Neodiprion lecontei: one gene and its partner. The protein of the gene in region 1 binds, or shares a complex with, the protein of each later gene. Links are inferred from orthologs where the notes say so. Each region holds a gene or a part of one and is shown on either strand. Other genes may lie near its edges.

The links.
Region 2: ragulator complex protein LAMTOR3-A (region 1) and ragulator complex protein LAMTOR4 homolog share a complex: the UniProt entries of both Drosophila melanogaster proteins name them as parts of the ragulator complex. The link is inferred for Neodiprion lecontei from reciprocal best matches to the Drosophila melanogaster genes Lamtor3 and Lamtor4.

What each region holds. Positions count from the first base shown.
Region 1 is NC_060261.1:12,072,816-12,090,178, reverse strand, and holds ragulator complex protein LAMTOR3-A, read left to right. Parts: upstream 1-7,477; 5' UTR 7,478-7,772; coding exon 7,773-7,781; intron 7,782-8,002; coding exon 8,003-8,236; intron 8,237-9,329; coding exon 9,330-9,467; 3' UTR 9,468-9,870; downstream 9,871-17,363. Other genes in the region: ATP-dependent RNA helicase SUV3 homolog, mitochondrial, read right to left, coding at 1-27, 107-228, 344-492, 1,645-1,824, 1,942-2,100, 2,183-2,324, 2,452-2,765, 2,880-3,010 and 6 more; phosducin-like protein, read right to left, coding at 6,124-6,356, 6,427-7,054; glyoxylate reductase/hydroxypyruvate reductase, read right to left, coding at 10,104-10,219, 10,917-11,207, 11,293-11,456, 12,383-12,572, 13,484-13,611, 15,408-15,478. UniProt on the Drosophila melanogaster protein: Regulator of the TOR pathway, a signaling cascade that promotes cell growth in response to growth factors, energy levels, and amino acids. As part of the Ragulator complex, may activate the TOR signaling cascade in response to amino acids.
Region 2 is NC_060264.1:23,144,738-23,160,138, reverse strand, and holds ragulator complex protein LAMTOR4 homolog, read left to right. Parts: upstream 1-7,357; 5' UTR 7,358-7,586; coding exon 7,587-7,658; intron 7,659-7,735; coding exon 7,736-7,984; 3' UTR 7,985-8,082; downstream 8,083-15,401. Other genes in the region: cullin-3-A, read right to left, coding at 1-205, 319-498, 582-785, 861-1,244, 1,320-1,445; isocitrate dehydrogenase [NADP] cytoplasmic, read right to left, coding at 4,361-5,575, 6,222-6,422; GTP-binding protein YPT6, read left to right, coding at 8,385-8,564, 8,712-8,956, 9,044-9,242; cysteine desulfurase, mitochondrial, read right to left, coding at 9,578-9,641, 9,741-9,830, 9,912-10,183, 10,446-10,603, 10,666-10,787, 10,890-11,095, 11,359-11,496, 11,561-11,677 and 2 more; uncharacterized protein LOC107224137, read left to right, coding at 13,579-13,694, 13,771-13,940, 14,020-14,268, 14,334-14,494, 14,587-14,676, 14,771-15,401. UniProt on the Drosophila melanogaster protein: Regulator of the TOR pathway, a signaling cascade that promotes cell growth in response to growth factors, energy levels, and amino acids. As part of the Ragulator complex, may activate the TOR signaling cascade in response to amino acids.

The DNA of each region.
Region 1 (17,363 bases):
GAGCTAACACAGCACCATTGTTTGAACCTGAAAATGATTTGATAATGTTGGAACATGGCATGGCACAATTTACCAGAAATTTTAATATGTAATGTCTTCAACAAACCTGACTCTGAGGTCTTTAAAAGCTGTGTTAGTTGAACTATGCCTTCTTGTATAACTGCATCCAACTCCTTCTGAGTATCTCGCACAATATCTCCATCAGGCAAGAGGTCCATGAATCGATAACTAGCAGCAAATAAGAAAACAAATACCGTGAATCTGATGCTTAGGCATTTTTGAATTCAACTGAATTTGTAATACCTATCTAATTCTAATGGCTGAACTCAAAATAATTTCTCACCTGAACCAAAGGTAGAGATCTAAGACATCAAATACTGCTTCTAAATGAACCAAATCTATGATTGTTCTTGGTGCGGCGACTGGCCAACCGATGTTTTGACAAAGCCAGTCAAACGTCAACGTTTCATTTTTACTGTATTGTCGAGCGAACTATACAAAATCAAATATCAAAATTATGTTCAAATACGTATTTTTTTAGGCAAACAATATTTATTGGGATCCAAAATATTTAGACGCTATCCAGTAGCAGAAAAATTGCGCAATGTTAACCGTGTCGTATTTGATATTATTGTTCTTTTTTTACGTATATTTTATTATTTGACGACTTCGTATAAAGAAAAAAACTCATTTGGACAAAGTTTACTGCCCATTGATATTTGCATAATTTTTTTCTTTTTTAACTAAGACCGAGGCAAAATTTTGGATCCCAATTGAATTAAAGAATGAATGAACCATATAGTCTAAATTAAAGGTTCGGAAAGAAAAAAAAATTGCTCCAATCTTCAACGGTGTTTTTCTTTGTGCCAATGATAGCGAACACGATCACAACAATATCCCTAATATGAGATAAAAATGATTTTCAGTAAATTCGTATCACTAAGATAAAGTATTAACAATTTGAGAAAAGGTTTTATAATCAGAACATTGGAAATTCCTAAACTGTTGTGTTTTTTAGCCGATTTTAATATTTTTGGGCTCATTTTGCTCGCTGACTAGACCTCCACAAATTGTTAAAAACATTCACTGAATCTTATATTATAGTATAATTACAACGTGCAAATATAATTGTTGAGAAACATCTATTGTGCTGTGCTGCACAAACATTATCCACTATAAGCACAACTGTTTATGAATTTTTTTTTTCAATGTACCCTCAAAGCTCTATGGCAAACACAGTAAGCTCAAAGAATAAGAATCAATTCGAAAATACCAAAGTTTGAACATCTTGAGCGTTCTGATTATAAATCTTTTTGTCTGATGGTTGATATCTTAGCTTTTCTTATTCGAACATGGTCATATTCATTTATAGTACACAGTAGAGATGTTATTTCATTCGTATTCACCGTCATTGCCGCACATAAAGCTGCTGGAGATTTTCTAAATGATTTTTGTTGACTTGTCCTAGCATTCAATTTAGACAGTACAGCCCGTTTGTACTTGATCAGAAATTACAGATACACAATTTGGAATCTTTCTGACTTAAATGTTGTTAATCAGTTTCAATTGAACTTTTTGAGCGTGACTAATGTAGTAGAATATGTGATATTATTAGAATAGATTGGTTGAGCATGATCAGCTTACTTTCAAGAACATTGTGCACACAAATGGTATTTTCCTATTTATCGGCGCACAACAAAATACGTATCGTGCGCGCAATGGTAGCGGGATGTGCTGAATTATATCAGCAAGAAATTTGAAATCGTCTAGATTGCACATGAAGTATAAAGAGTTGTCCACTATAGATAGCGATACGAAAATATCCTGCAATAGGAAAGAACGATTAATAATTAATTGTAAGTCTGAAAAAAGAGTACAATTTACGGACTCGATGCAAATCTGCTGATTCCTAAATATATTATGATGTATTGAAACAATCACCATTAGATTAGACAGAGTAGAATCAGGCAGGTAGTAAGCATATAGTTCTATTTGATCAGCGGTTGGATGTAAACCAGCTTGAGTAAGGACTTCTGGTTCTTGTGAAAGCAAGTGTTGCAGCTTGGATAGATCATCTGGTCTAAAAGTTGTTACATATCCCTGAAACAACAAAGCAACTACAACTCCGGGAAGTCGAATAAGCGTGATAGAATTGAACACCGAATTTTTAAAAATGATTTACTTTCTCCCATTGTGTACCATAACGCCCGGCTCGTCCAGCTATTTGCAGAGCAGAGGACACAGGTATCGTGTCAATTTCTTTTTCGCCCTTTTCATTGATAGTCGGCTTCATCAAAGAGTAGAATATTATCCTTCGTATACTCCTGCCAAATGAAATATGTGTAAAAAAACGCGAATGATTAAACATCGAAATTTTTTTCCACACATGCTATTTGAGTTCGCCTTTATCATTGGAAAAATTACGATTTAAAAAAAAAGAACGATACTAACAAATTCAAACCCATCCCGATAGCATCAGTAGCAATTAAAACTTTACATGGGTTATTGATGTCATTGAATTTTGCTGCTTGAGCTAGTTTTGTTCCTGGTGGAAGGCTTCCATATATAACTGCCACTTCAATACCACGAGATTCGATGCTACGAGACACAGAATATATTTCATTTTTACTAAAGCAAACTATACAGTCTCCTGCAACTACATTGTCCAGTGATTTCAGTGCAGACTCTTCGACTTCCAACGGAGTCAGACGTTTATATCTCCGTACCTCAACATCCTCTCCAGTTGTGATACATATGGAGCGGACCTAACATATAGCAATCATTAGTGATTCGGACAGCATATCTCACCCATGTAAATTTATGAATCGTTGGCCATCAAATTCATTGATTTTTCAACGAATTTTGAAATATATACTGACTAAGTCTATCGCAGCAGCTTCTCCGCAAAGGTGAATTTCATCGGCTGGCAGTCCTAGCAAAGCTCTAGTCCATGCCCAGCCTCTACCTGGATCTTTCATCAATTGGATTTCATCTATGACGGCAACCTCACCTAAAATAAATTAATTTTATTCCATTCGTTTCCTTTTTTTTTTTATACTTAAACGTAATATGTAATGAATAATTGAATCAAAGGATATAACCTTACATGCAGCGTTTGTGTTGGCCATTTCGACTGTGCAAGATATGTGATTTGAAGGGTTGTCTGCACCTTTCGCAAAATTTTTCTCTTCTCCGGTAATTAAGTCGCATGGGGTACCCTGGAAAAAGATGCAGGATAAACAGAGTATTGCGATAACGTTCAAAACAATGAAGAACATTTGCAAGATTTTCAAAAACAGTTCTAATGAATTACTGAATCCTCACGTTAGTGTTGCTTTTATTGAACACTTCTGCAGCCAACAACTTCAGCGGCCCACAATATAATCCACTTTTTGCAGTCATGAACCTCTGTAGCGCGTGGTAAGTTTTACCACTATTCGTTGGTCCAGCATGAAATATAATTTTTCTTGTCTTAGCTCTCGCTAACGGGTACCTGCAAAATGATAGTTATTTAATTTGCGCATATTTCTGGTTATAAATATGAAGCTCTATTCAAAATACAGAAGCAAATATTTCCACTGTTTTATTCATACCAGTTAGCAGGTGTGCGTAGATCGCTTATTTTCTTGAGATCATCCATACATTCAATATGGGGAAAAGTCTGTTTCGCATGACGCATAAAGTACGGAAATATGTCATCGACATGCCCGGCTCCTTGCATTATGTCGCTTATTACAACATGCAAGTCTGCCGGCAAGGTTTCAGCATCTAAGCAGTAGCGTCGAAAACTGATGAAGGTTTGATGTTGTAAGTAACCTGCAAGACGTTCATATTTGTGTGTGCAGTCTCCAAAATAATGCAGAAAAACTAAGAGCAATGAACCAAAAGTAGGGAGGAAACAACCAACAGAAGCATTTACATTGGCTTTTGTAGGACAATGTTTATTGAATGTAATTTACAGCGATAAAACGGGTGGAAACAAGCAGGGAAATCTACTCAACTTGAGAGGATCAATCTCAGAACTTCCAGCTACTCCCACTATCGATGAAGATAAAAATTTCAGACTACATGATTTATAATTTTGAAAATAACTTTAAAGGCTCAACTGATTTTAGTAAAAATCTAATCAGCTTTATATTAATAAAGCTAAACCCATGAAGCAAGTTTCATCTGCATCTAGACGTTTTTGAGATACCACAAGAATTAAGTTCAAATTCTAGTCAGTTCTGAGTCAAGCAAAACTGAATCAATTAAGGCCAAAATAATAAAATCTAATCTTTCAGTAATTGCCACCAAAAAACGATCATACACTCAAATCGAGATGTCCACCTGAAAGTGATCAGAGAAGATTCTCCAGGCCTTAAATAGTAGAAATATAGTGAAAACACAACTTTTCATTTTCAGGGTAATTATAAAAACTTTCCTTTTTCTATAAAAATACCAAAGCGGGAAGTTGAGAAAACTGAAATAACGAGTTGAAGCACCTTAAGTACTCACTGTCCAATCCGTGTTCCATGGCGAGCACCTTGATCTCTTTTCTTTGATAGAATTGATTGAGCACTTTCAGGAGGTCAGCTTTGTTGAGAGCCCCACTAAGTTCAACTCCCACGTTAATATCATCTGGGTTCGACTTGACGGGAACTGGTTTGAACAAAGATGTGATTGTAGTCGAGTCATCTTTTTTTCCCCGCAAAGGTTGTGCTAAATAAGCTCCAATTCTAAGATATCTGAAAAATAAAAAATAACGCGTAATGTATTAGAAATCAATTCATAAAATTATTACATTCAATAATTTTTATAAAACTTTACCTGTTGTTGATTAAACTCACCTCACACTTACACCTGTTACAATAAAATATTTGTAGGATATAGGAATACAAAATTGACCATAGGTTATAATAAGTGAATAAATATGAATAATGTGTGTCGATTACCTTATTACAATATAAAAGTATATAATAGAGATATTATACTCTACCTGTCTTGTAAAGTGGTGCACAGGATCCCACTTCTTCGAAGTAGGGATTCCGATATACGTCGGGTTGTCGGTATCATTTTTATATATTTATTAATTTCACAACATCCAAACCAGAGTGAAATCAGATTATCTTTAAATATCAAATAACGTTCATCGTGCAATAGGTTATGTTTCGGAAAGACCTGCGGATCAAAAAATTACAATCGAGCGTGCCGACTGCCGGTGCGCGCACTGAGTGAGATTCCACTGTTTTCAACCAATAGTTGAAACGAGATACTAGAAGAACCGTAATCAGTGCGCATCCGCAAGTGTAGCCAATGAAAAGCGCCATTACTCCGTGGCGCAACAGTAAGCATTTACAAAAGTTGAGAATGCCGTACAATTAGTTAATTTATTCTTAAATTATGACTCTTCCCTGGTTTATCTGAAACAAGTGATTGAATGAATTGTCCAATGCATTTCAATGCTTAATCGGTATTTGGTAACTCAATCTACTAACTGTGCGTCTAGAAACATTTTCGCGATAGTCTCGAGCCTAATTTTGGATTTATCCAAAGGTGTGCGTTGGGACTTTAGACAGTTTGAAATGAGTTGTGCGTTCCAAAGCTTTCTAAAACCCTTCTCAATGCGAGTTGCAAAACCTGCTGCCAACCAATGCTTGTCAACACTGAAAATTCCCAAGAACATCTTCCACCTTTTTTATTCATTGGGTTCATTGCGTTGCCTAATTTTCCGCTATTCACGAGAGTCCGATTTTGTATTCTTTCGTGTCAATTAAAATTTTTGCATTACTGATACACGTATAATTTCAATGGCAAAATTTATGCAAATCAGTTGGTTGCAAAAAGAGCAATTTATTACTAGTTATGTTATGATTGGAAAAGTTTAGTTTTCAGAAAACCAAATCTATGCAACATCTTTACCAACTTTTCAGTCAATGCCATTGGATCAAAGAACCATTCATTTACAGATAATTCACTCTATGTAAATGACGAGAAAACCAATCGTCATACTTACGAACAGCATAGATAAAATATACAGGAGCTTCAGGTTTATTGTTACATAGTTCATATAAGTATAGTTACTATAAATATTAAATACATTTTTACCACATATAATCTCCAGTCTCTATTTCGTTCATTTTTCTAGTCGCTGTCAGAATCTGCATTTCTCTTAGTAGAAACAATTGATGGAATACAGTTTCTGTCACTTATCATTCCATGCTCGATTAAAAAATGTTCAACATCAGAGGAATAAAAGTCAACTCCAAGGTGATCTGTGACACGAACAAAATTACCTATGACTTGTTTGTTTTTATAAACAAGCAGTGCTGGAACTCCCTCCTTTTTGAAGTGCCTACTTAAGCCTGCGGCGGAGCCTAAAAATAATTCAGCATTAGCAACTGCAATGTTCTTTTATAGAAGTTTGGAATTCTTTCACCATCTCACCTTGAATTTTGCAAAATTTAACGCTGGGATATTCGATGGCCAGTGAAAGTAAACAGCCATTCATAGTCTCACATCCTTCTATGTCAGGTTCATAAATATGAATAACGATGGTAACAGATTCATGTTCGTTGTCGATGGCCTCCAGAAATTGATCAGCAGTTACCAAGTTGAATAACCGGCCAAATCTTAATTTTTCAGCCCGAGTGAGCATTTCCATCATTTTTTGCTTCTGATAATTGAGTAAAAATTCGTCGTTCATCAAATCTGCCAACTCTGGATCGGTTTCCTCAAGATTATCTTTTTCCTCGTCAAGAGCACTCCTGCAAGTCAAACTCAACTTCTTCAGCAGCTCGATCCTCTCCTTCTCCTGTTCGACTTTCTTCTCTGCCTCTATTTGTTTAAACCGCTGCCAGTCGCCTAAGACCCCTTTCGGCCCTGTGTTGCTTGAAGTTCCGTCCCACTTTGCACACTCAGGCAGTTGCTCAGACCTTGACGCTGTCGCGTCGCACGGTTTCTGCGACTTTTGTTCATCTTCAGAATCCGCTGAGTCTTGCCCCTCGTCTTCACTTGAACTACTGCAGTAATATTGTAATTTTTCACCCAAAATTTTATCCTCAAGTGTTGCCATTCCGTTCTCTTTTGGGCTAGAGCTTTCTGTTGTACCTCTATTTAATACACGAAGAGCGGAATTATTAATATTATATTCAACGGAATAATAATTTTATCACCCAATCTCAGTCCATGAACATCAATGCTCTGCTCTTCATTCTCGCTGTTTTATCGAAAACCAATTATTTATTATAATTGTTGACTGCGTGAACGACGCTTTACACCAAGTTGACGCCATAGAGTAATTCTCTGAGGTTGATACGCCACACACTTTAGCTTACTGCGGGTGCGTATCAAAATCAGCTCCCGGCCCCGGTAGCAATCTTTTTATCTCTTTTGCACTTCTTGAGTATGACTGGCTCTGTCTCTGTTTTAGGCATGTTAAGCAATGCGCGCGCTTACAGTTCGCTTGTATAAGTTTGGTAACAAGGAGTGAATAACATGTCATATCACTTATAATACAGTATTTTTACGTACACCAAAGATAATTCTCTTTGACGTACACTACCTTTTAAATTCACAGCTAAATGCGGGTAGGACAAAAATAACTCGATCGGTAGGGTAGGATTGTAACCCTGTCAAACCATAAATAGAAATATATCGGCGCCCCGTGGCTGACGCGGCTGTGTGAAGTGTCAACTCTTAGTCACAGAACGGAGTATTCTTTGTTCAAATTCAATAAAAATTTGGAATGCAATAAAAATACTGAAAACTGAATACAGGTTCTGCATTCGAAAATGAACGTGGTGAGTTTGTTTTTTGAAGTTTATGCTGTAATCATATGTGACCGTTAGCTAGCGTTTCGAAGCCAAGTGAAAGTAACTATAATCGAGGTTATGTTTTTCAAAATAGAACTCACTCTTTATTGGAATTGCAATAGAAGTCAGCTCAAAAATTCGAAGCAATATAGACATGTATATTCGCGATCTGTATTTTTCTAGCATACACAAATCAATTTGTGATTCAGTTTCAGGAATTGAAGAAATTTTTATATCAGCTATTGAACAGCGTTGATGGCTTACACAGTATTTTGATCACGGATCGTGATGGTGTTCCTGTCATATCAGTGTCAGATGAAAAAGCCCCAGAATTAGCAATGCGGGCAAGCTTCCTTTCTACATTCGGAATGGCCACTGATCAAGGGAGCAAATTAGATCTAGGAAAGAATAAAACCATTATTAGCATATACAGCAGTTATCAAGTAAGTTATGAACCATTGATAATAAGAGCACCGTAATTCTGGAAGGCTGTTTGGAGTTCAGTTATTCCACTTTTACATGCAACCTTTTCTGAAGAGTACATTGTTTAAACATATAATGATATGAAACTAGTTCTATATGGCATATTATTTTTCAAATTTGACAAGATTTTAAGGTCGAATTTTCGGTACGCTTCATTTTTTGAAATCTCATATTACCTATTACAAGGCTTGTTGATGATTTAGTTTGATCTTTTCATCTCAATTTGTTCTTAAATTATTAATTTTTTTAATGTAACGTCAAATTTTCCTAATTAAAATTCATTTTTTCATTTGGTGAGAAATTTATATTACGATGTTTTAGTCGTTTGAATGAAAGTTATAAAAACAATTTCTTCCACATTCATAAGAAAAAAATCTTTTCCGTATGAACACGTATTCCTATAGTAGCGTCCGATTGATTACAAACTTGATGAAATCAATCTTTCTTTCACCTGACAAGAAATTGATTTTTAAAAAAGTCTCTTCTGAATAGATAGTAGAAATACAACAATTCATCGACCCATAATCATAATTGGCTTTATGCGAAAAAGTAGAACGGAACTATAAGGAAAATGGTACAACGAAATTATGAGATATAATTATGAAATATTTTATCAATGAATCCATCACTCAAGAGGAAAAAAGATATGTTTTACCTTTTTTAAACATCTCATTTAGTTTTTAAATTTCATTCATTTGCAAAATTTAGATGGAAAATGTTTCAAAAATTCTATATTAGAAAACAAATTGAGAATGCAGCTTCAAAAAAATCATCAGCACTTCTGTCAAGAGGTAAAACTGAATTTATAAAAAATTTTGAAACTAAAAAATTATCAAAACCTTATCAGATTTGAAAAATAATGCTCCATACACATTAAAGGGAACTAGCATTTATTGTATTTCAACTATATTATATAATTATAAAATTAATTAATTATTGTGCAAATTTCTTGTAAATTTTTACCTCTAGTTACAATTATTTACCATGTTGTCAGAAACAGTTATAAGTGTGTAAATACATGGATTTATGTGTGATCAATGATATGTTCAACAGGTTGTTCAAATGAATAAGCTACCATTGGTCGTAAGCTTTATTGCAAACAACATTTGTGATACCGGGCACATCTTGTCACTAGAGAGTAAAATTGATCCAATTTTACAAAATCTTAAAAACGTTGTTGCCGAAGCCTGATGGACACCTGTGATGCACTAATAAACTAATTGAAGAAATCGTGGAATTAAAACGTCACGACGACTGTGTAATTGAATGTGTAAAACACATTGAACCAAATTTTAGCAAAACAAAGGTTAAATATTACGATTTAAATCGTTGTAAATTAATTCTATAAATCTTATATAATTATGTAATATACATACAAAACAAAAAATGATATATACTGTATATGTATTATTGGAGAATTGAATTGATTATTTCGTGAACACGTGTCATACGCACACTTTATATTTTCGTATTCCTAAATAACTTCGCATTCATAAAATAAAAATAGACATTGATCACGGAGTCACATCTGTATGAATTAACGTGAGATATAACACACCTACAAACAAGTTACTGGAATGTCAATGTGCTTATATCCTGGGTAAAAAAATTCCCAGACTTGACACCTTCATATGAAATATACTATAAAACATAATAATTGCTAGGTATATATTCTTGAATATGACGTAAAGTGGAAATACGAATCTTGAAGACATGTATAAAAAATTAAAGCCCCGTAAAATTTCAGTTGCTTTGAAAATATTTGATACATATATCAGGCAACAGGTTACACAGTTGGTGCAAACTTTATTGAAAGCCTGTTTGCCACTATAATTCATAGACGAGTGGTTTTCCTTCCAAGCCGTTGATCACGTTCTGCGCCGCTGTTGTAGCCATGTCTGAGCGGGTTTTCACCGTTGCACTGCCCAAATGCGGGATTATAACTAAAAAGTTCAATAAAACGTAAGTGGGCTTCGGGTGATTAATTTGTTTCTGCATTTGTTTTTCTTCATCTTGTATTCCCAAAGACATTGATAAAAAAATAACAGGCAAATCATAATTAGCAAAGGTTTGAATTGTCCTGATAATGTTTGAGGAAATTCAAGAAATTCTAGAGTTTTAAAAAAAAATTTCTAAATTCTTTACGCGGAATTTCATTTTCTACCAAAACTCAAATATAAAACTCCGATTTTTTTACTTTCTCGTTGTGCATGATCAACTCGACTGATTTTTAAGAGGTGAAAATCGGACCAATTTCTATGGATAACTCATGTTTTCTCAGAACTCCACTATGTGTCACAATCCTGAAAAAAATCGTATCTCTGGCGTATCGCGTTATGCAAAAAACAGACGAATTTTTGAGAGAAATTAAAAATGAAACAGTTGAAAAGGATTTTAAAATAGATTGAACTGTCTAAATTTTTCAAAAATATTAAATCATCAATGTTTTTCTATACGATATTTGCAAAAAATTATTTCTTTTCCTAGAAATTACTAGGTCCGGTTTAGGATTTTTAGAAACAAGTAAGGATCTGTTAGAAATTAACCATTCTGGGTAAATTCGTACAAATATGTGAAACCTTCTGGACATATTTTATTGCCAGGAGAGGTCCCGACGTAAAAAATCGCTCAAATACTGACCTGCGTTCGGCAGGCTTAAAAGTGGATGGTCACTGGGGAGTGGCTCTGGATTCATAACATCCAATCCAGCAGCAAAAATTGTATGATTTCGAAGTGCTTTGACGAGGGCATCTGTATTGACGACAGGTCCGCGTCCTACGTTCACCAGTATCGCCGTATTTTTCATCTGGGCAAAAGTGTTGTCATTGAACATATTCGTAGTTTCATTGTTCAACGGCGTGGCAACTATCACGAAATCACTTTCCTTGAGGAGATCAGCAAACGATACAAACGTAGCTCCAAGATCGTCACCTGCAATTATATGAAACGTTGCATGTGTATTTCGATCCGAACGTTTATTCATATCATAGGTAATATTCATTAATAATTTATTTACCGGCTTGTTTTCTCGAGTGGCCCGAATAAATGAATCGGCCCACTTCGAATGGCTTCAGTCGCTTCACAATTGCTTGTCCAATGTTACCCAAGCCTACTATACCTACAGTTGAACCGCGTAAATCACGGCCCAACATCCATTGCGGCCGTGACTCCCACTTGTTTCTGAAAAAATTAACCAATATTAAAATATTTCGTTCTAGTACCTTGAAAATGAAAGATAAACAATAGTAATAATATAATTATGATACACCCAATGAATTAGAATTTTCTTGCAGCTTATACTAACAATGCATCATCTGCAATTCCTACCACCCTTTCGCATTGAATTAGCATAATTATAAGAATCAGCCCCTCTTAAAGTTAAATTAACTTCACAAGATCTCAGATATTTTAGGGTGGTCTTAAGAAAGGTCATTTTTGAATTTCGATTGTTCGACTGTTCCATCCCCTAAATCGGATGCAAATAATTCAAAAATAATTCTCTCATTTTTTCAGCTTCTTATCTCAACTCCAACCCGTGCCGCCGGAAGGTTGATTTCTTCGATTAACCCTTTTCAAGGGAACAGTAAATCTGCCAAATGGATTTCGATGAAATTTGATGTAGGGGGGTTCCTCGGGTCGCTGATTACGAATTTTAACTCGAAATTTCAAATGTCGAAATAGGCAAATCAACATGGCGGACAAACATCCCAAAAGAAAAATGATATTGCCATATTGGATCCGCCATTTTAAATTTGGAAATTTCGAGTTTAGATTCGTAATCAACGACCCAAGAGGAACGTGTTATATCAAATTTTATCGAAATCTGTTTGGCAGATTTATTGTTCCCTTGAAAAGGATTAAATCGGAAAATCAACCGTTTTTGCGGCACGGATTAGAGTTCAGATGAAAATCTGTAAATGTTAGGGAATTATTTGGTCCGATTTGGGGGACGAGGCATTACAAATTCAAAATGTCCTTTTTAAGGACCACCCTAAGGTGCATACCTATGTAAGTAATTGTATTTGCAGCTATGCATATTTTAAAAATTCTTTGTTATGAAATACATAAGCTAAAATTGTAATATAACAAAACGTTGAATTATTTACTCGATGATTTTGATACGGCCCTCGTAAGCTCGCCTGGCCGCGCTCAACGTCAACATTACAGCGACCTCAGCAACAGCAGCAGTTAGAACATGGGGAGTGTTACCTACTTTTAAACCCCGCCGTTTTATTTCAGGCACGTCCAAATGATCGTATCCAGCAGATGCTGTTGACACCACTTTCAACCTTGGTCCTGAAGAAAATGAAAACCTGAGTTTCAATATCAATCAATCAAAGAGGTAAGATAATTTCATGCCCGTGGAAGAAATCCATTTTGTTGATTGGTAAATATAGTCATGTCAGTTCGCATAATCTATAGTCGCTTTAATTAAGAAATTATGAAAAAGCATATTACAGACTGGTTGCATAATCCATATAATATCTAATCGGAGCAATAGATTTTTATTGCTTCAACGAAATTTGATTTCACGATAAGATCAGATAACGTATATAACGGAGGCCGAGTCGGCCGGAAAAGTTTGTATGAAGCCGAAAATACGTAATATATGTTACCTATAAGACAAAATTATATCGTTTTGAAGCAACATGTTTTTTCGCTTCCACCTGAATAACTTATTATATTTAGTAACAAACAAAAATCCTCAAGGAAGACTAACTCTTAAATCCAATTTTAAAATATGCTCTCGGAATCGATATTTAAAATTGTTACCAGTCAGCCGTATTTATTGATACGAAATTTTCGTTATAACGTCATTACTTTGGCCACTAAAGATCTTTAAAGATAAATGTTTTACATCAAATTCATTATCAAGAATTATAACTTGTGAACCACTGAAACACGAACTTTGCTCCAAGTATATTTTTATACAGAATTTAGTTCCCTATAAATATTCTAAATAAAATTGATTTTCGAGGCCTATAATTTGTAAACTGTTTGAGCTACGAATTTCGTTCAACGGACACGTCTGTAGTGAATTGAAGTCACTGCAAAATGCTTTCAGGATCAAGTCTGGGAAGAGTTCAAATACCGAGAGCGATATTTTATAACTGGATTCAAGACACATTGTCTCCTCCGAATTTTTCAATACGTAAAACTTTTTTAGGTGCAAGCGAAAAAAATTATTGCTCTCATTCAACATTTACCTGCAACATCCAGTAATTCTTTGTTCACGACATGATGGCTGGCGAGATAAATAGCGTCATGGCCCGGAAGTGCTTGAAGTACTTGTTCGCGTGTACTAACTGGGCTTGGTAGAATTGTCAAATCAAATCTGAAAAAAATCGAACAGATTTGCAGATATTGCTATTTGAAGATATGTTTCAGCATTTAATCGATTTATTATTATAATTATTATTATTACTTTGATATATTTTTATAAAACGGATCGTATCATCGCAAGAACACAGCTGCTGTTTGTGTGGTTTTAACGAATAATGAAAAATATATTTGTAGTTAGGCATTCTTCCTGTTGTTTCTGTGGTTTCAACGGACGTAAATGGTAAAATCACGTTGTGTATGGGTTCTTAATTCCTGTTATTTGTGTGGTTTCGAAAAAGGCAAATACGATGAAGGAGCTAATGGTCGTCCACTTGTTTTACAATATTTTTTTTCACTGTTTTCTGTCAGAATTAGAGTATATACTTCTGTCACCGTGAAACTTGTAGATTAACCGGAAACTTTTCCATTTCGTCCATACTTATCGCTATTGTTGAGCAGTTTTCGCAACCACATATTTTTGACGTAATAACACACGTGATTTCCTTAATTTATATCAATACGTTTATAAGGCAATTACTTTTTTAATAAGTTGACAGGTGATTAATTTTCGTGATAAAATAGCTGTGGGCAACAATTGGCTTAATAATGGCCAATCACTGGGTGGCGGACCACTCGTACATTTTCCCTATATTAACAGTTCGTTTTCGTTCCGATTAAGACCCTAAAAAAAAGAGGTAAGATTCATTGGAAAAAGAGGTCTGCTTTTTATATGTGCATAAAGTAGAGTAGTAGAGTATACAATAGAGTATTAAAAAGTAATTAGGTCACATTTTTTCATTTCCATTATCCTTATAACTCATGACTTTATTTTTCTACCTTCAAATGCATAACTGGGGTCCGAACGCACCCAGGCTTTTCTTGATCATAAAACCAATCAATTGCTAATAAACACACCTTCTCATACATGGTTTTCTTCTTCTTTTCGTAAGGAAGAAAATGGTGTACGATAAATCGGATTTTATTTACAATTAGTTAATGAAAAACACATTCGAAGATTAAAAACCGCGTAGCGATAGCGGTACTGAACGTAGTTCAAAGTTGCGTGGTGTACGTTCGGACTCCAGTCATGAGTTGAAATGAAAAAAGAAAAAATATGCCCAAACTATTTTTTGTCCAGCCTGCACTGAAAATATACCCTTTCGTGCACGGAGAGTGGGCGCAAAGTGCCTTTTTCTCGCCCGAAAACGAATAGGCGGATGCATGCAGATTATCGCAAGCGGGCGCAAAGTACGTTTTTGCGCCCGCTTTACAGAATGATAGAGGGCGATCGTGCACTCAGGTAAACTTAAGCGATTAAGGCTGATCGTGCGATTTTCAGGTGAGGCTCGTCTACCCTCCGAGAACCTAAAAATCGTACTCGCGTCAACCGCTTGCCTGAAATTTTATTACAAATAAGTTATTGTAAAGACAATTATTCATTCTGTCTTAAATACGTATTTAAATTTTGATAAACATGTCAAGTTTTTTTTTAAAAAGTGAATATCTCAAGTGCTGGGCAATTTCTTTCGTTCGGTCTTTTATTTCTTCATTCAAACAGAAAAAATTAAATTTTTTGTTTATCAATATTTTCAATATTAACATTTTTACCAGAAAAAGCCAATGAGTAGGCCGGACCGGTAAAAATAAACAATTATTGTTATTGGCAACTTGCACTGTAAAGTTACCCGGTGAAATGAACCGGTACCACCGATATAATTTTTCCATGCAGTGATCGAATGCCTTTCATAAGAAGTTAACAACACAGCGCCATCAGTTTGCGTGTAATGAATAGCACATGGAATCACTCACTTGGTTTTTAGAAGGTCAATGCCCGCCTGCGGTACTTCGTTGCTCGTCACCAAAACTCGTTGTCTGCTCATCCTGTCACTGGGAAAATTAACTACGTTGATTCTCAACCAAATTAAGAAACTGTTGCTGTTATAAGCTCAATACAAGAAATTTTATACGCTTGGACTTGAGTTGTTTGCAGTTGCTATGATTCACTATTCGCTCACCGTGATGTTCCACACTTCGGAATTTACGAACAGAGTGATCTGCGATGCGGACCGATGTAGTCAGCGAAGCGTCTTCTCCACAATATATCGTTCCTTCGTCTGAATTACATATTATGCCGGAGTATAAATGTACATGATTACATAATACATGCTAATGGATGTATGTCATATGTGTAACAGTACAGATACGCTATCACGACAAACATAGTACTAACGACAACAGCGTTTGTGGTTCAAGATTTCCGATGTTATCAGTGCGAAATTATCTAACAAGTTAGAATCGGATTTCGCAAACACTTGACGCTCGCCAATACGTAAACTCCTTTTGGTAAGGCTGACACGATGCTCCTCGAAATTTCGACAATCTTTCATGAGATTATGCGAATATTTGAAATTTCAGAAATCACTGTTGTGCGTTTCTATTCAATGAGTATTTTGTTCAATGAAACCAATACAAAAAGAGGGCGTCCCTAGGGAGGACTATGGGGCTGGTTACAGATGCTTATCGTCAGGCCATCCTATTCACGACTTGTTGGTTCATACAGATTTACACCATTACACCGTAGGTCATGCACCCAGATGATCGTGAAAGCATCTTTTATTTACGAAATTATCGTAGCGAACTCAATATTGCATGAAAAAATTCTCCCTCACTTTCTGTTCGTGTGTTTATTTAATATAGGAAGAAAAAGGGTGAGTTTGCTCAGTCGGTAAAGATAGGAGAGCTAAATGCTCTCAGGCTAGCTGGATGCTCCACGACAATTCACCATGCTTTCGTGGACACCGGTGTTTCTACCAATATTTTTGTTTATCGTCATGATTAACATACAACGTAATTGATATATCGTCAGCATAGAATTAACTAATTGTAAATTTTTTAGAAAAAAAATGGTACTCACAAAACAAGAGTCTAACAATATGAAGTAAATCGTAGTAGTATATAGTTCATTTAAGCAGCCGGCTGGAGGCACGCAGCTGTTGATTAGTTGTTTTCGATTAACCTCACAATACATTTGGGTCCAGGAGGTCCAGGAGCAGGCACCGCGTCGGCTACTGATCGTGAGTAAACGAATTTACTAATACAGTGTAATAGGTTACATGTAAAGTCGTTAGCCTGGTGGTGATACATTTGAGGAATATTTCGATAACAGTGGCCAGTGTCAACCTCTTTGTCCGAATAGCAAACAGTATTTTTATTCTAACCTTTACAAGTTGCACAAAAAACTTGAAGCTCTTCGTACGAACAGTAAATAGTTTCATTATTTAACTATAAAATTTTCTCTACTTGTTTCAGTCCATTGGTTTTTAGTGAGATGTTACGTCCGTTTAGTTTAAAACTCACTTCCATTAGTCCCGCTAAGAACTTCAAGATCTCCGTAGAAATAGTGAACAGGCTTTATATTCAACCCTTATATGACCATAACATTTTCCTGATTTGTTTCACTCCTTTTGTTTTCAGTTTGTCAGGCGAGGTGCTGAAATTGTGCACAACGATGTTGACACCCTCAAATAAACCCTGAGAATGTTGAGTTACACAAGATAATTTTGTTCCGAACACAAGAAAAATGCTTGATCAAAACATGGAAAAAAACAAACAGGTAAAGCTATATAATTTATTTCTGTATTTATCAAGAAAATATCAACACGTGTGCTATAATCATATAGCATTTTGTATTGCATTTAAAACTTTATTATTAGCAATTATTATTCTCATTCTCATCCACTCTGACTACAAAGTTACAAACAATTG
Region 2 (15,401 bases), on another chromosome or scaffold:
GCAGATTTTGCACAAAGTGTATTGCGTTTGTGGTTGGCTCATGCTCTTCTTGGACCAAGGCGCGTCCTTGCTCTCTGAGGAATTGCGACACACAATCTGATACAGTGCGCAATCCGTCTGTTACTCTCGCGAATAATTTGTACATGCAACCAAGGTCTTCAGTTTTCTGGTTCTTCAACATATGCACCACACCACTGTTTTCCATCTGCAACAGCATTCATTTGAATTATTTCAAAGTTTACAAGACTTTAGAGCAATTCTGTAACACGTAACAAAGATTTGATATACATGAAGTTTACTGCTAAATTTTGTCCTCACCTCAACGATGGTTCTCATGTGTATTTTAATCAACTCTTCTTCCACCACTTTGACTATCCTTGGCTCTGTGGATTCGTCCAGATAGTGCTTCGCCCGTTCTGACTCTTCAAGAATTCTAGCTTCAACTTTCTTTATGTAGACTGAGGCGCTGTTCTCGCCAAGGAACTTTTGCGACTCCATCTGTTGAATATTCGTTAAACACGATTGATTGAAAATTAATAGGACAATTGATATGGTTTTGTGAAAATAAAAGTAAAACTTGCCCTGTAAAATTCAGCGCTCTGTTGTAAGAAAGGCCTCTCGAAATCCTCTTCGTAAACTTGGCGACAGTTTATACCGAGCAGCATTAGCATTTGACATGCATTCTTTATCGCGATTCGATCAACGACCTCCCCCCTTCTCTCTCTCGCTACCATGCCCAGGAGTGTCTCGCGTAGATGATCCCTCACGCAGCCGTACCTGACTACCTGAAATAAATAACGATTCGTCAAAAAGGATTTGTACAGATGTAGCGAAAGCAACGGTTTCAATCGATGTGTTACCTGATCCCTGAATATGATTAGGCCCAAGTTGTAGACGTTGTCAACATCATGCTGTTGCACATAAACCCTATCCATGTACATTAGTATATCCCTGATCATAACCATAGAGGTCTGATGATCGTTCCAAGCCTGATTCAGTGTCTGGAGAAAATTGTTGTGAAGGGAGCGTAGCACGTCTTCCCGAACTTTCGACTCCAGGTGCTGCGTAACAACTTCTTTCAACCCGGTGTACAAACGCTCGCCATGCTTGTGAAGGACCATGGTGTATGCATTTCGGTACAGCTCCTCAAAACTCAGGCCGGAGTTGTTTTTCTTTTGTATTTCTTGTATGGCGTTCTTCAACAGTGCCCAAATACTCTCCACATATTTTTCGTCCATGGTCATCTAAAAACAGAGCATCTAGGTGTGAGAATAAAAAATCAACGCTGATTTGGCAAACTAATAGGCAGTGTCCCTCACAAGGGTGTCGACGATCACAAGGGAGCTCGGATTCCCTGATCGAAACAGCCCTGAGATAGTAGCTATTTCACTGAGTGCTCCACACATAATTTGTGAAGTTGGTTTTTCTAACTGACCACGTTCCATGGTTGGATTTTTATCCAATCCTTCTCTGTGTGGTGACCGCTCAATCACTTTCTTTAACCTATTGTTTTATGTGTCGATCGGCATAGTCGCCATATCAAGAACGCTCAAAATTAACCTTGACTTGTCAATATAGCATCAGCAAAGACGTGATTACTGCTGTCACTAAATTGGAGTTTCTACATCCAGGCCTAGTCCTTTGAACAGGCAATCTATCAGCCTATTGATAGTTTCAGTGATTTGTAAGACTTTGGACTTGAAAATTTGGCGAAAGTAGCGTTTGTCGGGGTGAAAAATTTCGTTTTTGGATTTGTAGGGAAAAAAAAGTGAAAGGCATACTCCTTTCCATTGTCTTTATGACTGCTAAGGCAACTGTCTTGAATTTGGGGGGGGGGGGGGGGGGGGTGAGAATGGGGAAAAAAACACATTAGGTTCGTTCACCAAACCAGTGCACCTTTCGTAGGCTGCTGTGGTTTGGCTATCTTGATACAATATACAAAGGGGCCGAAAGTGAAAGCTGATCAAATATATTATATTGTTATATGGTTTTAGTCGATGTGAGCTAGGTTAAAGGGGTCGGGAAAGAGGAGGTGGGGAGGATGACGGGTGGACATATTTCCATTTAAATGACAGTGCGTGAAATCCGACGGACCCGAGCGTCGAGCCTCGAGGATCGTGAGATCGTGACAATATGAAAACTGCCCGAGTCGAAAGGCGAGGCGAGGCGAGGCGAGGAGCAGCGAGTTTTTCCTCCTTTTAATCAAATGGGCATGCATATTCGTCGATGAGGGAAATAAGATACGTGAGAAATCTTCTTACCGGAAACGCGCGTATCCGCATTTTTTCTCTCTTGTGGGTCGCACCGCTCTTCATCATTTTCAGTAGTAAAAAATCTCCTCAAGGGTCTTCGTTCAGCTTGACACTTCGGTATTATTACTACCAACACTATAAAATCGAGTCAGCGAAAATCTCGATCTCCGTACGCACATTTACAAAGCTTTAACGGTGTCATTCACGCATCGAGGCCAGGGGCGGGCGCGGGGGCGACGTGTATTTCGCAATGGTGGGTTCGAGGAATAATATCGACGCTCGCTCGACGGTGAGAAACAACGGGGACCGAGCGACCAGTCAATGTCGGTTATTTACAGGAAAACAAGGCATCTGAAATTACCCGTTATCGCGGGACTGTGTGGTGGGTAGTGGTAGGTATAAAATGGAGTCGCGCCACCAAAACACAGAATTTATTTTATAGGGTTATTTAAACGCGTCTGCCTCACGTCGTCGGTCTTTAACAAGCTCGTCTCTTCCTCGTTAGTTCTCTTTGTGCTTTTCTTTCCTTTTTACCTCCGCCTTAATTAATCTCACTTCAATGGAATGACGCACATATTCCCACAGATCGAGGCATACCGAATTTCAACCGTGTGTATCAGACGATCTATTTTCCTAATTATTCCGCGACGATGACGACGGGCTGCCGGAGGAGGAGGAGAAGGCGATGAAGCGAGCACGGAGCGCGAATAACTAATCGAGCGCTGTGGGCTGCGTTCGATTCACGCGGTACTATAAATACACATTTTTATCACGATGTAATGGAACGTAACATAAAACTGTAACAAAATACGCGATTACCACGCATAATTGTATACACAAAATATCGCACTTGGCGAATAATCCTATTCCGTTGAATAATTAGGCTGCATTTCATTACCGACTACCGGAACTACATGCCTCCAACCCCCATGGTAAAGAAGTTCCCGTACAGCTGACTAGGAGCCCTTTGTTCCGATAGTTAGATGGCAAAGAGGTTTTTTTGAACGTAACGTAACCTAAAACTATAATAAAATACGCGTTTACCAAGCATAGATGTATACCGCGGTATATCGCACTGGATGAATTATCCAATTCCATTAAACGATAAAGCTGCATTTCATCACTGACTGCCGATACTACAGCTCTATAGCATCCATGGTGAGAAAATTCCAATACAGCTGTCTAGAAGCCTTCTGTTCGGATAGTTAGATGGCTAGGAGGGTTTTTGATACTGCAATACCTCTCGCTCTCGGTGACGCAATTTCCTAGGAATTATCATGATGCACTACACTGGTCTTGTAATACAATGACTTTCTATTAGCCCTTCGAAACTATTCGTCCAAAGCCGATAGTTCGGAAGTAAATGCTTCATAATTTTTTTCAGTGCTCAAACGAACGCTGTATTTTCGGCGCATTTAAGGCTCACTCATCGATCACCAATTTGTTGAAATCAATCTTTCATTACAATGAACTAGCAAGTAACCGGTTACCGATAATTTAGATATAGGTGGAAAAGAATTGCGTTTTATGCCAACATTCAAGTTGTGGAGTTACGTAAAGTATACGCAATTCAAGTATCCAACTTGATCTTTGACCATGGCTACTCAGGAAGTCTTGAAGTTATATAATTTGAATACAGTGTAGCTGTAGAGCAAGGTTTCATATCAGTCCACAGCTATTTCGAAGGAATACGAGACTATAGATAATCCAACAATATTCGCACATGCAGGTTTTCACAGTTCCTGTAAATGAGGCAATCAAATGGTAAAATCATTGTAAAACATATTTATAAAACCTTTTGTTTATACATTGAAAACCAGACGAAAATCGTTCATTTGACTTATAGGTTTACAAAAATATTTCACAGGCTAAAGGTTCCTGTAATAACAATGGCATTTTCATACTTAAGAATACTTGAGTGTTGTGCTATTAACGCATGTATTGTCTAAAAAAAAAAAAAAAAAAAACTATTTTCCTCATCCAATAAACACCCCTCGAAGGTTTAAACTGAAAAAATTGGCAATAGATTCTGGAATAAATGAAGCAGCAGCCCTTTCCTGGGCTCAAAGCTTCGACCTCCGGATATCTGGGAACATGTATGTTTGCAGTCACGCCTTGGCCAGTTCCTTCTTTAAATTGTCAGCGAGCTTGTCCATAAACTCGAACGTCTCAAGATAGTCTGACCTTTTGACATTGTTCATGCCCTTGATGCAGATTGCCAAATCTTTAGTCATACTTCCAGCCTCGATCGTATCAATGCAAACTTTCTCCAGAGTCTCTGCGAATTTCTTCAACTGGTTGTTGTTGTCCAGCTTAGCACGGTGTAGTAGGCCCCTTGTCCAAGCAAAGATCGAGGCAATCGGATTGGTCGATGTCTCTTTACCCAGTTGATATTGGCGGTAATGCCGAGTGACTGTTCCATGCGCAGCCTCAGCCTCGACCGTCTTGCCATCAGGGCAGAGAAGCACAGAGGTCATCAGGCCTAGAGAGCCATAACCTTGAGCAACGGAATCTGACTGAACGTCTCCGTCGTAGTTCTTGCAAGCCCAGACAAAGCCACCCTCGGATTTCATAGCGTAGGCAACCATGTCGTCAATGAGCCGATGCTCGTACCAGATATTCTTTGCTTCGAACTTGGAACGGTACTCAGCCTCGTAAATCTCCTGGAAAATGTCCTTAAATCTGCCATCATATTTTTTCAGGATGGTGTTCTTGGTCGAAAGATAGAGCGGGTAGGTCCGAGCCAAAGCATACTGGAAAGAGCTGTGGGCAAAGTCACGGATGCTCTCGTCGGTGTTGAACTGGGCCTGAGCGATGCCAGCCCCCTTGAACTGGTAGACAGTGTGCTGGATTTTGTCGCCTGACTCACCTGTCCAGGTGATTTCCAGTTTACCGGCACCTGGTACCACAAAGTCTGTGGCCTTGTACTGGTCAGCATGGGCGTGACGGCCGATAATAATGGGTTGATTCCAACCAGTCACCAGCCGCGGAATATTCTTGCAGATTATAGCTTCCCTGAAGACAGTGCCGCCCAGTATATTCCTGATAGTGCCGTTGGGGCTCTTCCACATCTGTTTCAACTTGAACTCCTTGACTCGATTTTCGTCCGGAGTTATCGTCGCACACTTTATGCCCACGTTATATTTCTTTACAGCCTCCGCGCAGTCCACCGTCACCTGGTCATTAGTTGCGTCCCGGTTCTCCATACCCAGATCATAAATGTGCAACTCAATATCCAGGAACGGGAGTATCAATTTGTTCTTGATAGAGTCCCAGATGATACGAGTCATCTCATCTCCAAGAATGTCAACGACGGGTCCAGCCTGTTGGAAAAATGCTGTTTCTTTAAGTATTTTCATAAGAAACTGCTGAACATCTTATTTACAACAATTTCATTGTACAATCTAATCATGAACGGAAATTCCGAGAAATAATCAAACTATCAATCAATTGATTATTACGGCTTATATCGCGTGAGATAATGATCGCTGTGATATCCACATTGTAGTAGGAACCTTATCATTCGAAACTTATTAGCTTTCACTCGACCTCGAGCTTGTTTTCTATTTAAGTGAAACCATCGACATTCCACGGCAAACGATGGGTCGACTAAATGTGGGGGGGAGGAGAGGGGATCGACCTCTGCACTGTGCACCATAATGTGCACTATCATCCAAGGTGGTTTGGAACGGGGTTCTAATCATGCAATAAATACGGAATACTTCGGAACACGAACGCTGCGAACAATAAAGTTCCCCGAAAGGTGAATCGCAAGTGTCTCGTGATTTGAAGTGCCTTCTCTCAGTCGCGGCATTAGTATAGAAACTGTTTAAAACGGATACGCGACGATCGCGACCGGCCGTATGAGACTCGAATGTTTTTTAAACTGCAGGAAGATGAATCGGCTAACAGGGCGACGCCTCGGGGGAGCGTGATGGATCAGGGTGAGATATGTACATTCATAGATACCTTGATCTTAGCCATAGCGATTGACGTGGAGCTGAAGTTTTTCGATGTCTGTGTCGTCCACGTAAGGTTTCGTCTGCGCGATGCGTCGAATGAGGAGTTTCGGTCGAGCAGAGCGACGGACGACGTACTGCAGCGAAGTAATCGAGCCGCACTGTCCACGGCGGCACTCGGTCCTAACAGGCGAGTCAAGGAACGGAACATGGCGCCTGTTATTGTTATTATTACCGGATTATACGACTAGGGGATAGGATGAGTACGTGTACGGAACGGGTTGCGTACCGCGTATCGAACGATCCTAGAGTTGCACCGTCACTGGTCCCGTCGACCGGGTTCCCGAGATGTGTTATCTCTCGCGGAAAGTTGTGTACCCCAGGGACCTTTGGACGCGCTCCCCGGGTCCGAAGAGTACAATAAACCAACGGTTTATTGTCATTGACGGGTCAATTGATGCCACCCCTACATAAAATTGATAGCGAATTCTAGACGTTAACAGTATTGCTGACACGCGCCATTCTTTTAACGGGAGTTGGTTACGCAATCGATTGCCGCCTAGAGCGGCCAGCCGTCGAGTCAATCGGCCGAAGCCCGAGAGGCAATGTAACAGCGGTGGCATCCGCCATAAAATATCGGACTAATAACAGCTGCCCTCCAGGCTATCTACATAATTACGGTTCGCAATATTTTTTCATTTTGCCCCGAAATATCCGAAATATGTACTGCACATGCATTAAAGGTACTGTGTGGTGTTATTTAAAAGGCGGGCTGAATTAGCAATTTCTGTGAGTGTCATGCGTGATAATAACGTCTTGTTAATGCCTCAGAATAAATGAGATATTTATTTTCAAAGTCAAAACAAGGATGAAACTACGACATTTGCTACACTGATATGTAATGATATTTATGTCTCATTTGTAAACCACTGACCTCTACTTGTATGCTAGAGATCAGTGATGTAAACTCAGTGGTTTACTACAGAAAATCATACCGCGAACTTCACAGAGTTCGGCCATTTTCAGCACTCATTAGCTAGAGGAGCTAGAGAGTAAATTTGAGACCAAACTACAGGAGAGTGGATTACAGCGCCACGGTGAACAAACGATAAATGATATCTCCAGATTTCCAAGTTTTGTCAGTTGGCTACATTGAAGTCTAAGCAGGCAGAAAACAAGAGCAGAAAAATACATCGCGCTGCATCGCGCTGGCTACCGCGTTGTATTTTAGACTATCGCCACACGTCAAACCACAGGTTTTGTGTGTTGACAGGTGACACTTCCTCGCAAGGACAATTTTGATACTCGGCTCCCCAGTGCTTACGTTAAATTTTACCATTCTGCAATATACAAACATCCGCTAGGTTATTTGAAGATGTTGTCGATGGAGAGAATACCTGAGCAAATCGGTTATTTGGTATTAAAAGAGGACGGGGCGGTACTCACGGTATGACAACGCGATACAAGTCGAGAGCTTCATCATTGTTTACTTTTGTTTTTTTTTTTTCACTGCTGTCATTTCAGTCGGGTGGAGAGCTGGAAAACGACGAGAGAATTGCAAACATTATCATGAGCCTGATCACTCTGACCGACACGATCGATCCCAAGGCGTTTGCGTCCGATGAAACATTCAACAAAATATCCATAACCTACGAAGATCACTGCTACGTCATATGCCTGTCAAACAAGAAGGTTCACATTGTTAAGAAGAAGATAACCGCGTTGACCTCATCTCAAGAACAGCAGCAGCAGCACCTGCCAGTGATTGCTTGATGAGTCAAATATTGCTTATCGAAATAATTACAAGGAACATATGTTAAGTTGAAATATAAAAATGAGACATGTAATAAAGCAAAGATCGCAAATGTGAACGGTAGCAAGTTTCCTAGCTTTTTTGCTAGTGGTTCTGTTCATTGCACCTAATCGACTAATTATAGATGTAGTTGGACACCGAGGGTGATTCTTCGGTTTTTAGGCAGTCTGCGCCATCTATGAGCTTAGCAAAACGTCTATGACTGAACAAAGATGCTGCAATCTGCGCGAATATTTTTTAATTATCACGAATATGCATATGTACGCATGCATAAATGTGTGTAGTTATAATCGGTAATAATACGCGTGGGAAATATAACCCGTTAAACAATGATCGGTAGTATTGTTTAGATGTAAACAAATGGCCACCATCAAGGTAACCGAACAAAAGGTGATTTTATGTGGCGAATACGGGGTCGGGAAAAGTTCGATATTTAGGCGATTCGCGAACAATACCTTCGTCTCAAACAATGATAGAAAATCGACCTTGGGACTGGACAATATCAACAAACAGTACACCATTGACGAAAAAACGATTCGCGTAAGTAGCACATTTGCCTGTTACGTTCAGTTATTTTCACGCGTGCAAGTGCAGCTTTAAATTTATTGTGTCGGACAAGTATATTCATTTACACCTGTCAATTTTGGCTAATTTTCTACAACGTCGAGGGTGGTCCTGACTTTCCAGCTGCAGTTATGGGACACAGGAGGAATGGAGAGGGTTGCCTCTATAACATCCAGTTACTACAAATTTGCAGAGGCGGCAATATTGGTCTTTTCGCTTGACAATCCGACCTCCTTTCACCTCCTCTCACAGCACCTTCTTGACATTGTAACTTACGCGGAAAACGCTAAGATATTCCTTTGCGGGAACAAGAGCGACTTGGAAAGCGTTGATCCTCAGGTCACAGATGTGGAAATGGAACAATTCTGGTAAGAGAAATAATCTATTCACATCGTAATTATATGTTGAGAATTAAAGCAATAAGTTCATTGACAGTCGTAACTTTTGTTTCCCAGTGAACAGTGTCACAATTTGATATCGGCGACGTACAAAACGTCGTGTAAAACGGGGCACGGGGTTGATGAAATGTTTGAAGATATTGCACGCCATTTGGTCGAGGCAAACAGATCGCGTATGGAACTGCACGATATGGACAAGGACCACTTCAAAATCACAAGTTCCGACGAAATCGACGAGCCATCCTGCTTGTGCTAATTTTGATTCAGCTTTTAATGCCCAGAACACGTTTCTCTAGTCAACTCAAGAGGAAACGGATTTCAATTTAAAAATGCATGATTTATGTCATGACAAACGCTGGCTGAGCATATATTAATATTATAATAATTTATTGACGGAGGATGAATGATGTGTGGCGATTTGATAAATTTTCAAAATAAAAATTTATTCATTTATCATAAACTCTTATACTACTATGCAGCGAATGCAATGTTGAAATCTGGAAACTTGAAATCTCACTAAGCTAGTCATAATTTACTATGTATCACTTAACAAATAATCCGTGTACAAAGCCCTTTTTGAGTAGGAACTGTTCAGTGCTGCGTCCATTTGATTGACTTGATATCGATACCCTCTTGTACCATTTCCCACAGTGGACTGGCAGGAGGAAGAGAAAACAGAATTATATCAATTTTACAAGCAAACAAAACTTTTGCTAGAGTTTCAATTTTGACATCGAGCGCATAAAACACATACCTCATCTCTCTGAGTCGAATAACGTGGCGTATGATGTTATGCGCTGTGTAATCGACTTCTTCACGAGTTGTGAAACGACCAATTCCAAACCTGAAATGCACAGTAATTTGCCATTGTCAGCATTTATATGTCAGATATCCTAGTTTGCAAAAATTGTACATTCACGCCTACCTTATACTGGAATGTGCCAGGTCTTCGGCAGCTCCAATGGCACGTAAGACGTAGCTTGGCTCTAGACTGGCGCTCGTGCAAGCTGAGCCGCTGCTCAACGCCACATCTTTCAAAGCCATCAGCAATGACTCTCCCTCGACAAAAGCAAAAGAGAGATTCACGCAGCCAGGATACCAGGCAACTTCATCACCGTTACGCACCACATTCGTTAAACTGCCCATTATTTTTTGTATCAAATGCTGGGAAAGATCTTCTATATACTTGTGGTCATACTGTAAACGTGGAGAAGAACACAAGTATTAATCCAGATAATTTTCAGTTCAAATTGAAGATGATACTTAACACCAGATACTATCAAACTGACGTAAAAATGTAATTTCTTTTGAAATCAGAGACTGATGAAATTCCTGGAAATTTTCTGAAATTTCCTTGTAAAGTAATAATCTCATGACATTTTCAGGTTTTCCCAATTTTCTGTAATGCTGGACACTTTACAGTGAAGCATATGGAAAGTTGAGAAAGTGTTGTACTAACAGCCATTTCCTTTTGTGCGAGCTCGCAAGCAGCCCCCAGCCCAACCACCAGAGGTGCTGGCACCGTTCCACTTCTCATGCCTCTTTCCTGACCCCCGCCACTTTGAAGGGCTTCGACACGAACCCTTGGCCTACGCCTGACGTAGAGTGCTCCTATGCCTGAAACATTAGTTGAGATGCATGGATATTTTGAAAAATTTCTCGATCTCTTTATGCACTACCTTTTGGCCCGTACAACTTATGACCACTGATCGACATGAGATCTATGTTCATCGCGTTCACGTTGATCGGAATTTTTCCTACAGCTTGCGCAGCATCTGTGTGAAAGAAAACTTTCTTCCTTCTGCAATATCAACAAATATGATAATCTGTTCACTGCTCAATACTTAACGCTTTTATCTTTGTCTTGTTCTGAAACTTAAAATATATTTTACAGTATAACAACCTGCATAGAGCTCCAATCTCTGCAATTGGCTGTTGGACACCAATTTCGTTGTTCACAGTCATTATCGAAACAAGTGATGTGTCAGGCCTCAGAGCAGCTTCAAGTTGGTCTATGTCGATTAATCCATTGGGTTTGACAGGGAGGTATGTGACATTGAATCCTTCAGCTTGCAAAGCTCTGCAGGAGTCCAAAACGCACTTGTGTTCCTATGTAAAAAGAACAAGTTGAGAGACCTCAATACTTCTCATCAAATGCCCGTGGCTTCATACTTCATTATGTTTTACAAATATTTCCATTCTGGTCTCCAATTAATTTTATTTCAAGCATACAATATATTTGAAACGGAATGTAATCACAAAATTAGAAACAAACTACGTAAGCCAACATCAATGATTATTTCACAGTGAAAACATTATCAAATGGAGCATCAAATAGTTTACATCGTATCCAATTTTCCTTTTCAACTCACAGTTTGTGTCGTTACAACGTGCTTTTTCTTTTCCTTGTAAAATCTAGCCACACCCTTGACAGATATATTATTGCACTCCGTGGCCCCAGACGTGAATATAATTTCCTTCGGATCAGCTCCTATCAGATCAGCAACTTGCTACAAGAGAAATTGAAAGAGGATAGAATATAAAGCACTTAGAGAAAACGAGATCCTTACTAACTTTCCGACCACGCTCAACAGCTGCCTCTGTTTCCCATCCATACATGTGAGTCCTGGAATGCGGATTGCCGTAGTATGTTGTCATGTACGGCATCATCTGGTCCAGCACACGTGGGTCCTGAAATGAGAATCGACGTATCAGTTGACACCCAGATGTACTAATACTGATTAAAACAAGTTAGCGAAGTTTAGCGATTGAAATTTTTCCAAACAAACCGTTATTAAAACAAAATACGTTTATACAATCACAAGTGTGAGATTAAGAATAATTTTAGTTCCGTTCGAGAGGTGGATAATTACCAATGGTGTAGTGGCCTGGGCATCCAGATACAAGGGCCGACCCTCCGCTGGACCCTTTTTGTACTCATCACTGATGGGAGCTGGAAAAAAACGATTTTTAACAAGTAGTTAGGCGCAATTGCATAATTTGTAGTAAAATCTTTCGTTTACTAGTTCAGCGTACATTCGAATTCTTTGACAGCCGCGTAGTGTCGCTTGGGCGACGAAATCACTTCGTTGACGTGGTGATCGCGCGCAAGAGGCACGAGTCGTTTCCACAAACGAAACATTCTTTCGTTTGATCGGCCTTCTTCAGTCGTGCGACATTTACTCAATCAGTTGGCCGGTCGCGCGCTCAAAAAAAGGAGGAATTTGGGTTAGGAATCTCGATGCGAAGGCAGAGGAAACTGTACGGATCTAATCAAGATCTTGAATCTCGAGAGTCGAGAGCTAGGCGTACGCAGGATCACCGATCAATTGGTGCCGCGACGAAAAGAGATTAGTTGGAATGAAGTGAAGTGAAGTGCGGTTAACCTGAAAGAGCGTCGGTAACCCTGATAGAACAGCTCCTGCTCGTAACTGCGGTTCTGTTTGCCTCTCACCAATCGGAAACTCGTCCCCTCGGCCTCGATCAGCCGTCAATGGCGCGAAAAACTCCGTGCAGGATGTTTGTTAAGATTGTCATTTGCTAATTGCACTTTACACGTACGAATTTGTGATAAAAATTTGATGCGACGCAGAGACGTTTAGAGTTAACAGGTACAGTGCGTTGTTTGGATAGATTCAACTATGCGCGCATGAGCTGTGCCAAAGTGACCAATATGCATCCAATATGTGAAATCATCTTTCAGTATTCTTCTTTTCCTCTGATGGTTACCGTTTTAGAGTAGTCATTGTTAAGAGTGCCCTGGTCGATTTTGATGTTGACTTATATATTTGCAAACATCGAAGTCCACGTATCTCAAACGCAAAAACGAGCTCAACATCCCGATTCTATACGCGATTCTGTACAAAAACACTTTTATACATTTGCATTTAACGCAGAAATAAAGAATTGGCATGGATTCTATGAAATCACTATAGTAAATAAAATTTGTAGAATTCATACCCTTTGAAATGACCGTTGACATAAAACGTTCATAAAAAAATTTTTAATCTGATCAACGCTGATTAGGGTCACCGTTTTTAAAACGTCAATAGTCTCCAGTCAACGACAGTCTTCAATGAGTCAACGAAATTACACAGCCTTTATAAATCAGTTAAAATAATTTACCAAGTAAAACTCTTGTTCGAAACATTCATTTACCTTCGTCTCATTTACGTGTTATGTTACTCTTCTGGATTTGTTTTGAAAATGCCGCGTCAATTTCTCATCTGTACTGCTCTGTGACAGCCGTGGTAGCAGACTGAACTAAAAGTACGCGTGCTTTTTGTTTGTGTCAACAGTACCGACCCTGTGCCGACGCCCGCGAGAGTGTAATCCTGATTTTCCTGAATTTTCCCCGCACTGTATTATCACAAATCTTAACGATTTCTTCAACAATGCTATTCGTAACTGTGTAAAATCACCCTTAGGTCGTACTGTATTGCGATTCTTGCCCAAAGTTGAACTTAAAATTAGGTTTGCTTATATTATTGTCGATACATAACCTAAAATTCGACTCATCCTCTCACAAATTTTAGCGATTTTAGCTACATGGTTCGTGGATCACTTCTTGTGTTCTCTTAGATTTCAGCCTCATGATGATGGATGCCGCGATTGAAACAGAGGAGGTGATAGAAAAACCACCGGTTAGCGTGCCAGTCGTCAGAGTTCCCGTCAAGCACACCAACCTCGGCATCAGAAGTCACGCAATGTAAGCTAATTATTGGTCAACCCGTAACTCATCACTTCCGTGCCAAATATCAGATATCACATGTTTCATTCTGCAGGGACATGAGCACAATGGTTGAACTGACGTCGTTCAGTTCCCTTGGGAAAATTCAGCCATTTCTTGTCACTCTCTCCACAACTGCAGCGCTCATCGTCGACCTGCATTGCCATCTCAAGGACAAGGAGGTGTGTGGTTATCTTGGGGGGCATTGGGACATTAATGCTCACAGTGAGGTTCAGTTCCTAACACATATTTGTAGACAACATTGAAAATTGCGGGTTTTTATTAAGGATCTTGATGCCCATAGATTTGACAATAAACTACGCGTTTCCATGCCGATGTAATGGGAAAGACAAAACTGCAGCTGCAGCAACTGAGGCTGAAATTGCACGAGCCATGGAATGGAAGCATCTCACGTTGGTAGGATGGTATCATTCCCATCCTAGGACGCACGCGTCGCCGTCGCTCCGCGATGTCGATTCTCAACTAGACTATCAGATAAAGATGAAAGGACTGAGTGACAATAGTTACACACCATGTGTCGGGCTTATCTGCTGTGAGTTTCGTTGTTTGCGTTTTGGTCATCCCAACAGTCTTAAATTTTTGGCTCACTTTTCGCAGCTCCGTATAACACAGATAATAACTGCTACGAGTCAAACTTCAACTTCTTTTGGTCGCTCCCTCCACCGGAAAATCGGCCTCACGAGTACCCGAGACCAATGCTGCTCAGCTACACCCTGTCCCAGGAACAATTCCTTTCTCAGGAAGCTATTGATGAAATTGTAAGATGTTCAGCACTGAATTTCAATGCCGTAGTTAGCGACTGTGCAGCAGTTCAGGTATCTACTATAATGGCTGGTTTTTAATTTTTCAGAAAAAATGTGTCGAGTATTACAAAAATGACGGCTGTGTCGACTTCAAAGGAATCTTTAACGGTTCTGTGACGTATTTGGAAAAATTGAAGGCAAGTATGCGACGCGTGCAAAAACTTTGTGTATTGAGAATTATGAAAAGTAAATCAGTGCTAGATAACATTTTTGTATCATTCTTTTTCGTAGAGCTCATTGGAGTCAAAACTACCGAGGAACCAGTCAAACGGATCGTACTGGGACGCCATCAGAGAAATCGTTGCACCTGGAATGGAGGATCCGCCAACGACAACGCAAGCATCGAGCATAGCGGGAAATTCGGATATATTTTCGAATGTCAAGTTCCCGTTGGTGCCTGACCCCATGGGCCGTTCTGGCATCAATCCTAACAATCTTTTCCTCACTCCCGTAAACTTTAAACTAGACTCTAGCGTCTCCATACTAAAGCCGTTCAACGTGCCGTCGACTTCGAAGGACAAAAACGACACCCTTGAAGCCACCAAAGGGCAGAAATTCGACTTACCGATGCCGGATATGAATCTCAATGCGAAGCACAAGTTGCCGGCTGAATTCACATCCGGTGAACTGACCGTTTCCGTAAAGAATTCCAAACCAGACTACGATTTCTCAACCGCGGACTTTTCCAAGGTTAGCAATCTCCTGTCGAGCGATTCCAGCTCCCACGGTGCCGGCAAGAACAGGATTCCTGAATTCCCACTCGCCGATATATCGCAGCTGAGCAAATTCTCGGACCTTTCGAAGCTGGCCAACTTTTCAACCAGTGATTTGGCCAAACTGTCGGGTTTCTCAATAAACGACA